Linked DNA regions of Neurospora crassa OR74A. The protein of the gene in region 2 interacts with the protein of the main gene of each other region in a biochemical or structural test. Links are inferred from orthologs where the notes say so. Each region holds a gene or a part of one and is shown on either strand. Other genes may lie near its edges.

What was found.
Region 1: the proteins of NCU06278 (region 2) and NCU00476 form a complex in vitro, tested with the Saccharomyces cerevisiae proteins (3 studies listed by BioGRID). The link is inferred for Neurospora crassa OR74A from reciprocal best matches to the Saccharomyces cerevisiae genes RIA1 and SDO1.

The regions. Positions count from the first base shown.
Region 1 is NC_026503.1:3,986,449-3,990,335, forward strand, and holds NCU00476 (UPF0023 family protein), read right to left. Parts: upstream 2,222-3,887; 5' UTR 1,861-2,221; coding exon 913-1,860; 3' UTR 637-912; downstream 1-636. Other genes in the region: NCU00475 (40S ribosomal protein S18), read left to right, coding at 61-247, 303-524; NCU00477 (carboxypeptidase Y), read left to right, coding at 3,240-3,741, 3,807-3,887. UniProt on the Saccharomyces cerevisiae protein: Involved in the biogenesis of the 60S ribosomal subunit and translational activation of ribosomes.
Region 2 is NC_026503.1:2,179,380-2,183,700, forward strand, and holds the start of NCU06278 (elongation factor 2, variant 2), read right to left. Parts: upstream 2,804-4,321; 5' UTR 2,563-2,803; exon of another isoform or gene 2,473-2,562; 5' UTR 2,458-2,472; coding exon 2,395-2,457; intron 2,301-2,394; coding exon 2,280-2,300; intron 2,194-2,279; coding exon 1-2,193. Other genes in the region: NCU06279 (eukaryotic translation initiation factor 3), read left to right, coding at 3,477-3,779, 3,879-4,321. UniProt on the Saccharomyces cerevisiae protein: GTPase involved in the biogenesis of the 60S ribosomal subunit and translational activation of ribosomes.

The DNA.
Region 1 (3,887 bases), about 1.8 Mb from region 2:
ACAGAACCGTTTTCAAGAGGAGGGTCAATATGTTGAATATGGACGCTGACTTTTATGCAGCGTTGACGGCAAGCAGAAGGTCGTTTACTCCTTGACCAAGATCAAGGGTGTCGGTCGCCGCTACTCCAACCTCGTCTGCAAGAAGGCCGATGTCGACCTGAGCAAGCGTGCCGGTGAGCTCACCTCTGAGGAGCTTGAGCGCATCGTCACCATCATGCAGAACCCCACTGCCTACAAGATCCCCGCTGTACGTTTGAACGGATTTCACTCGATATGACTTCGTCGTCTAACCTTGTCTACAGTGGTTCCTCAACAGGCAGCGCGATATCGTTGACGGCAAGGACTCTCAGATCCTCGCCAACGGTGTTGACTCCAAGCTCCGTGACGATCTTGAGCGCCTCAAGAAGATCCGCGCCCACCGCGGTCTCCGTCACTACTGGGGCCTCCGTGTTCGCGGTCAGCACACCAAGACCACTGGCCGCCGCGGTCGTACCGTCGGTGTCTCCAAGAAGAAGGGCAACTAAATCTGTGCGGGCATATTCGGCGCTGCTTTTTCTGGGTTATTGGTGGTGTTATTCCAAGACGGGCAGTCATGGACACCTGGGACTGAATTGTTTCGCCTTGCGCGTATCTGGATTCTAGGTAGCCTATGGCTAATGGGGGAACTCGCATAATGGAAGACACATCATTGACAGCATGACAATAAACGGCGTGGATATGGAAAATGATTTACTGGCATTTTTATTCGGTCTCTATGGACGTGAAACACGCAAATCCATTAAATCCATTGCCTAAAACAACCCACTATGATTTTCGATGCCATAACGCCCACCCCATGTATGTGACCAAGACCACCATAGACGAAGACCCAGAGAGTATCAGCCAGTTAAATCGAGAAACGAAGTCATGGCTTTAATCTTCGTGAGTGACGGCCATATCCAGGACCTCTACTCTTCCCTGTCCCTTGGTTTCGCTTCCGATGAAGTCAGACAAGATTTTAAAAGCACCGGGCTCTACGAAGCCCACCAGTTCCCACTCTTGGCCCATGACATCTTGGCTCTCAACCTGCTCAACGAAGCTGAGAATCTTGTCCTTGACCGTTCCGGGTGCCTTCTTCTCTCCCTCCTCGCCATCCTTGTTGGCCTCCCCCTTGGGAGCCTTGACGGCCTGCTTGAGCACATTGGTCGTGCAAGTGATGCGTAATCTCATCCTCGCCCTGGCAACGGGTATAGGCTGATGGGCAACGAGCGCCTTCATGGCCTCCAGCGCCTGCGACTTTGCGCTCTTGTTTGTCGAAACACCGGTCCAGATGGGTAGGGACTTTGTAGGCTGCGGCTTCGCCTCGCCGCTCTCGCCCGTCGCCGGCGACGCCGTACCGCTCGCGGCCGCATCCTTCTTCTCCTTCTCCTTCTCCTGTAGCTGATGCGCCTGCGAGCTGAGCATGTCCAGCGCCTTGTCGATCATGCCGGTGGTGTAGACCTTTTTGGTGCGCGGGTCGACCAGCTTGCTGGCGACAATGGAGACGACTTCGTTATGGACGCGCTCCAGCTGCGCGCTGCGCTCCTTCTCGCCCACCTGCATCTCGCCCTTTTTGAGAATCTCCAGGATGATGTCATTGACCGAAGTGTCCTTGCCAAACGCCTTTTGCAGCTCGGCCGTCGGCGCCGTCTGGCCCTTGGACACGTTCAGAAAGACGTTGGGGATCTGCAGGACGTTGTCGAGGTCAGTCTCGATGCCGGACCGCCATTCGAGCACTTTGTTCTTGTAGCAGGCAACCTCGAAGCGTTTTTTGCCCTTTTTAAGCCGGACAAGGGAGACGTTGGTCAGTTTGATCTGGTTGGAGGGCTGTTGGATCACCATTTTGGCGGTGGTTGTGTAGTTGTCGTGAAAAGAGTATAATTCGATGGTTCGACGGTATTGATTCTCCGGGAAATGAAGCCGTTGAAAATAGCTTCGAAGGTAGTAACAGTCGGGTATATAGGATGCTGGACTGGCTTTTCTGAGTAGCTGATATGTTTCCAGAAACCGGGCATACAAGTTGACTTGCTGCAGTTTCTCTGAGAATGCGCCCGTAAGAGAGATAACGATATGCCCGTGGAGCAGAAATTCTTGGTCGCCCGCAGCTTCCACTTTTCTCCGCTGCAGAGCGGGCTTTGAAAGTCTGCCCCGCCTGCCCGCCGTACCGCCCCAGTCCCCTCTGATGGACGGATGGGCCGCCCCATCGGATCCCTAGCCGAATGACGATTGACGGCGGGCAAAAAGCGGACTTGTCAAGCACGCGATGCGGGAATTCCATTTGTCCATCGGATGAGTCAGTGGGTCTTTCTGTTATCGATACCATAACATCACGCTTGGAGACGGGTTTGTCAGATATTCAACATGATAAAGACTGACACGAAGTGAGACCTCTTCAGTTTTGAAGACAGGAAATGGATGTCAAAGTCATTCAAATTGCAAGGGATCATTTTTCATTACTATTATCACATATTCTCTGAAGCTGGCGCCTGTTCGAGTTGAACTTGCCAGGAAAGCAGCACAAAATCACCGTTCGTCTGATATCTTTCAGGGGTATCACGCTGCATAATGCGCGACTCATGAGGATTATCTACTGGAGTTCCGTGAAGGATTATCATCTCCTCCTGGGAACAACATTCTTATATCCGGAGTTTGGAGTATCATACATGGACAATAATTCAGCAATGAGAAGGAAATGAGTGAGTTGTTGTCGGGCGGTGGACATGGAGTCGCATCGAGGCGACCTTGCTGGCGAGGTTGAGACAATGACGAAAGGTAGCTTATCAGACAGATAGGTTGATACCAGGTTGATTGGCGCCACGTCTTGAGGCCAAACTGTACAAGAAAATAAGAGGTACACATGGCGGTGAGAGCCTTATAGGCGGCCCTCTTCACAAGCGTTTGGTGATTTTTTTGTCTGGCTGATCGGCTAGGCGTCCGTTCTCATGACCAGCGTGACCGCCCTGCAAGGTACCTGACCAATACCCAGGCATGCACTCATGTGGCGGCGCAGCGTCTATCCAATCCCATGCCAGCTTGCCCCAAATCCTGGGGGGTTCTGCTGCATCCGCGTCCGGTGAAGCTCGGTTCCGGGGCGTTTTACCTTGGCAGTTGCTTGCCCATCCATTTCCGTTATCAACCTCCTCTTCCTTCCTCTTCCCCTCTTCCATCTTCTTCTCATCATCCATCTGTATCACAACATCAATACTCCTAACATCATCACAATGAGGATCTCGGCTTCAACCGTGCTCCTCGGGGCTGCCTCGGCCGCCTCGGCCGCCTCGTTTCAGAACCAGGCCCAGCATGTCCTTGCCGACAACTTTCACAAGGCCCATGACGCCGTTAAGCCCGTCGCCGACTCGTTCGCGCACACTACCCTTGAAAGCTTTGAGGAGGCCTTCAATGGCATGAACTCCCAGGCCAAGGCCCTTTGGGACGAGATCAAGCTGCTTGTTCCTGAGAATGCTTTCGATAAGCCCACCTGGTTCAGCAAGCCCAAGGCTGCTAAGCGCCGCAAGGACTGGGACCACGTCGTCAAGGGCGCTGATGTCCAAAAGCTGTGGGTTAAGGGCGCCGATGGCGAAAAGCATCGTGAGGTTGGCGGCCAGCTCGACAACTTCAACCTGCGCGTCAAGTCGGTCGATCCTTCCAAGCTCGGCGTCGACAAGGTCAAGCAGTACAGCGGTTACCTTGATGACGAGGAGAACGATAAGCACCTGTTCTACTGTAAGTCAATCACGCTCGAATGTACTTGGTTAGTAAAAATCACGGTGCTGACTCGGACTGTCCAGGGTTCTTCGAGTCTCGCAACGATCCCAAGAACGACCCCGTCGTTTTGTGGTTGAACGGTGGCCCCGGCTGCTCTTCGCTCA
Region 2 (4,321 bases):
GCCGTCCTCGACGCCAGCCGCCTTGCGGTCCGTGTACAGCCGCTTGATGCCGGCGGAGTTCTTCTGGAGGAATTCAGTTACGGGGGCCGGGAGGGGCCTGACGCGCAGGGTCACCGTCACTTGCCTGGAGCTCGTGACGCCGACAACCACACCGCGGCCGAGTTCCTTGTTCACTGGAGGGCGCATCTCTTCGGCACGAACGATCGTCTCCCGGTACGGCACAATGGGCGCACCGGCTTGGATCTCGCATCGCGCAAACCGCTCGCGCAGATCCGTCAGGCAGCGTTCGAGATGCAATTCGCCGGCAGTAGAGAGGACGTGCTCGCCACTGGAGAAGTGCTCATACTCAGCGCACGGATCGCTCTGGACAAGGAGGTGAAGACCCTGAATCATCTTGTCCAGGTCATAGGGGTTGACAGGCTCAAGAGCGACACGAACAATGGGGCGACCGGCCAGGTTGGCGATACCAGCCAAGTTGACCGAGCCCTCGAGCTGGCTGCAGAGCGTTCCGGACTTGAGAAGGCCGCTGCCTTCGAGACCGCGAATACCGAACACGACACCAGCTGGGACGGAGGGAAGGGCTTCGAGATTGCGACCCATGAGCATGTAGAGAGCGGTAACCGTCACCTTCTTCGGGACGGGTTGGGCATGAGGATCAGCCGGGGAGAACTTTGGGGGCAACACATAGATCTCGTCGCCAACGGATAGAGTGCCCGAGTAGATACGGGCAAAACCGATGAGATGCTCCGCTTCGACGGGCTTCTCCTCGAGTTCCGGCACGGCATTGTCGGTCAAGGAGGTGCTGGTGAAGGCGTTGGCCAGGTCGTTCATGTCAGGGTCACCGTCGGCGCCTCCTTGGGCACGAATGGCTTCGGCGCGCTTCTTTCTCGCCAGCTCTCGAGCCTCCTCAGGGCTAAGCGGTCCGCGGCGCCTGTTCTCCGGCAGCTCGCTTTCAGGCACGGATATCATCTTGCTAACATATGCAACCATAGGCTCAGATGGATCTTTTTTGAACGAGACCATGGCATCTTTGACCTTGGGATCGATGTGGTCCGCGCCGGGTACGCTTGCCAGGAGGTCTGGGAGACGGTCCGCCTGAGCTGCTTTGGGCGAAGGCAATGACTCCACCACTGAGACGAGCAAAGCCGTAGAGAGAGGCAACCAAGAAGCAAACACCGTGGTAAGGAGTAGTTTGGGATCCCGAGAGCGGAGGATGTGGGGCGGTACACTGAGGTTCAAGGACTTGGTGATCTTCTCCAAAAGAGCGGGATCACCCTTACCGGAGTCACCACCAACCGTGGCCTGGTAGACAGCCCAAATTGGCTCCAGAACCAACTGGACAAAGATGGGCTTTAGAGGTCTGCCCTTAAGATGCTTAGGCCCAAGTACCTTTTTGGTCTTGGGATCCATGTAGAAGTTGCCCCAGAGAACCTTTTCCAGCAAGCCACGCTTGATGCCGAGCTTCTTCTCGTACATGCCGGCAAACTGGCGAACAGTAAAAGCCCAGCCGTCGATGGCACTGCCAAAAATAACGTTGTTCTTCTCTGGCGCAAAGTAAATCTCCTCGTCGTCTTTTTCCTGGAACTGAAGCTCGCCGGAGTCAGGTTGACCGGCAGCTATTTGAGCCTCCTTGGCCGCGGCGGCAGCCACTCTTTCCTCCATCCGGTCACGCCAGTTGAGATCTTCTTCCATGCGCTCACCTTGGAAGAAGCTTCCAAGAACTGCGTTGACTTGCTCGAGAATTTTGCTGAGGTGGATATAAGCCTCGCCCGGGGTCATCTTCAACTCGGTAACCAAGCGGTCGATTTTGTTGATAACAAGAAGGGGCTTGAGCTTCTCGGTCCATGCTTGGCGCAACACGGTTACTGTCTGACTGCAGACGCCTTCGACAGCATCGACCAGAACAACGGCACCGTCACAAAGGCGAGAAGCAGTGGACACTTCACTGCTGAAATCGATATGTCCGGGGGAGTCGATCAGGTTGATCAAGTACTCCTTGGCCTCGGGAGTAGCGTCAGGAGCCGACCTCCTCAACATGGAGAAGTATAGTGAAATGGCTGAAGACTCCATGGTGATACCTCTTTGCTGTTCATCCGGCCGGGAATCGAGATAGCGAATCTTTCCGGCGAGTTTTGGTGAGATGATGCCATTGGTGGCGAGAAGGGCATCTGTGAGTGATGTTTTCCCATGGTCCTAAGGAAGATGAAGTGTAAGTCTCTGTAGCAACAACACAGATAGATCTAGGCTAGGTACGTTGCTTAGGTATCGGGAATACATACAACGTGAGCCAAGATACAAATCTGAAAAAAAAAAAGGATAGTTAGCTTGAGGCCCTCGAACTGAAGTCTTGCTGGGGTTTACACAAGGATGCATATCACATGCAGCTCAACTTACATTCCTCACGTCGTCGGCATTTTGTTGGAGCTTGGCCAGCTTTTCTGGCTGGACAACAGGCATGATGATTATTCACAACTGATGAGCTTCCTTTGAGCAAATATAGATTCTGTTTTTGGTGTCGGGACTACTGTAGAGTGCAGTTAGAGGTTTAGGTGTTGTGCTTACTCGAGTGAGCTTAATGGGTATGAAAGGTGGTTGAGGTGATCGCTGATTAATATGGGAATGGGTAAAGGATGGGAGGCGTCAGTCTTGGAAGTCGATCTTGGGCAACTTTTTGGCGGGGCAGCTTTTTTTTTATGTTGGAAAATCCAGGGAAAAAAAGCCGGAGCCAGACAACCTGGAAGAGAACGTGAACCAAGATGCACAAGAACTACATTTGTGTATTATTTTCTGCGAGGTTTGGTGCTATTATTTATCTTATACTGTCATTCTCCAGTTGATATCAAGCCCAGAAAGCAGTGTACACGCATGTGCTTTTTTCTCGCGCCGACGATGCCCGCCGCGCGGTGCCTGACTTTCAAAGTTGACTTTGAAATGATTCATTCGCTGTCATTTGAGATGGCATCGGACTGGTTCCAGTTGCCCCTCACTGCCTGCCACCTGTCTGACCTGCTATTGAACAGTGTGCTTGATAGTTGAATTCTCCACTCTGATATTCGAATTTCAATCGTTCAGATCGAGTGAGCCATCGATATATCCATATGCTTGGCGCTCCTTGTGCCCAGTCAGACAGTGGCAGACCATACCCTGAAACTGCATACACCCCGCTTTTCTCCCAAAATTCCCAACGGATATGGAAGCGACCTAGCGCGGGCCCCGCCCCCCTCACAATGCTAGCAAAGTGGGTGAAAGAAGCCCACGGACGACGGGCCACACAGCAAAAAATTGAGCCCCGCCAAGCAAAGTCCTGTCGATTCGCTTCGGGCCACTCACTCTTCGCGACCACAGAGAGACACCACCGACCTCACCCACACCACCACCACTCCGGACCCCCGACCCCGTAGTGAACTCTTCTCGACCCGGACGCGACGTCGGATTATCCTTTCCCGAGTCCTCCTCTCTTCCCACTATAGCCCATCATGAGCGCCTTCCAGCAAGCGCAAGCGCCCGCCCGCGCCATCGACCCCGATTCGGACGTCGAGGAGGAGGCCCTCGTCAACGACTACAAGGAGCAGGTCCAATATGAGGAGGATGACGCCGAGTCCACCCAGATGTCCCTCGCCGCCCAGACCGACGACATCCAGTCGCGCCTCGCCGCTGCCGCCCAGCCCCTTGACTACTCCGCCGGTCTGGAGGTCAAGTTCTCGAGCTACGATTCCTACTGCAGCTTGTTCCACTTCATCTTGAACTCCGAGGGCCCCGTCGACCTCGAGCCCCCTTCCGTTAGTCTACCTCCGCTTACGCCATGATCATCGATATCCTCGGCTCCATGGTCTCATGGGATAGCTTTGTGCTGACACATGTTTTCTTCCTCTTACTAGTACTACTGGGCTTGGGACGTCATCGATGAATTCATCTACCAGTTCAACTCGTTCTCCTCGTACAGAGCTCGCATCGCCCGTCAAGGTAACAATGAGGAGGAGATCGCCATGCTCCGCGAAAACCCCAACACCTGGGGCTGCTACAGCGTCCTCAACGTCCTCTACTCCCTGATCCAAAAGTCGCAGATCACCGAGCAGTTGGCCGCCATGAAGCGCAACGAGGATCCCGCGGCCGTCGCCGGCGAGTATGGTTCCAAGAACCTCTACAAGATGCTCGGCTACTTCTCCATCATTGGTCTGCTCCGCGTCCACACCCTCCTCGGTGACTTCAGCCTCGCCCTCAAGACCCTCGACGACATCGAGCTCAACAAGAAGGCCATGTTCGCCCGCGTCATGGCTGCCCACTTCACCACCTACTACTATGTCGGTTTCTCCTACATGAT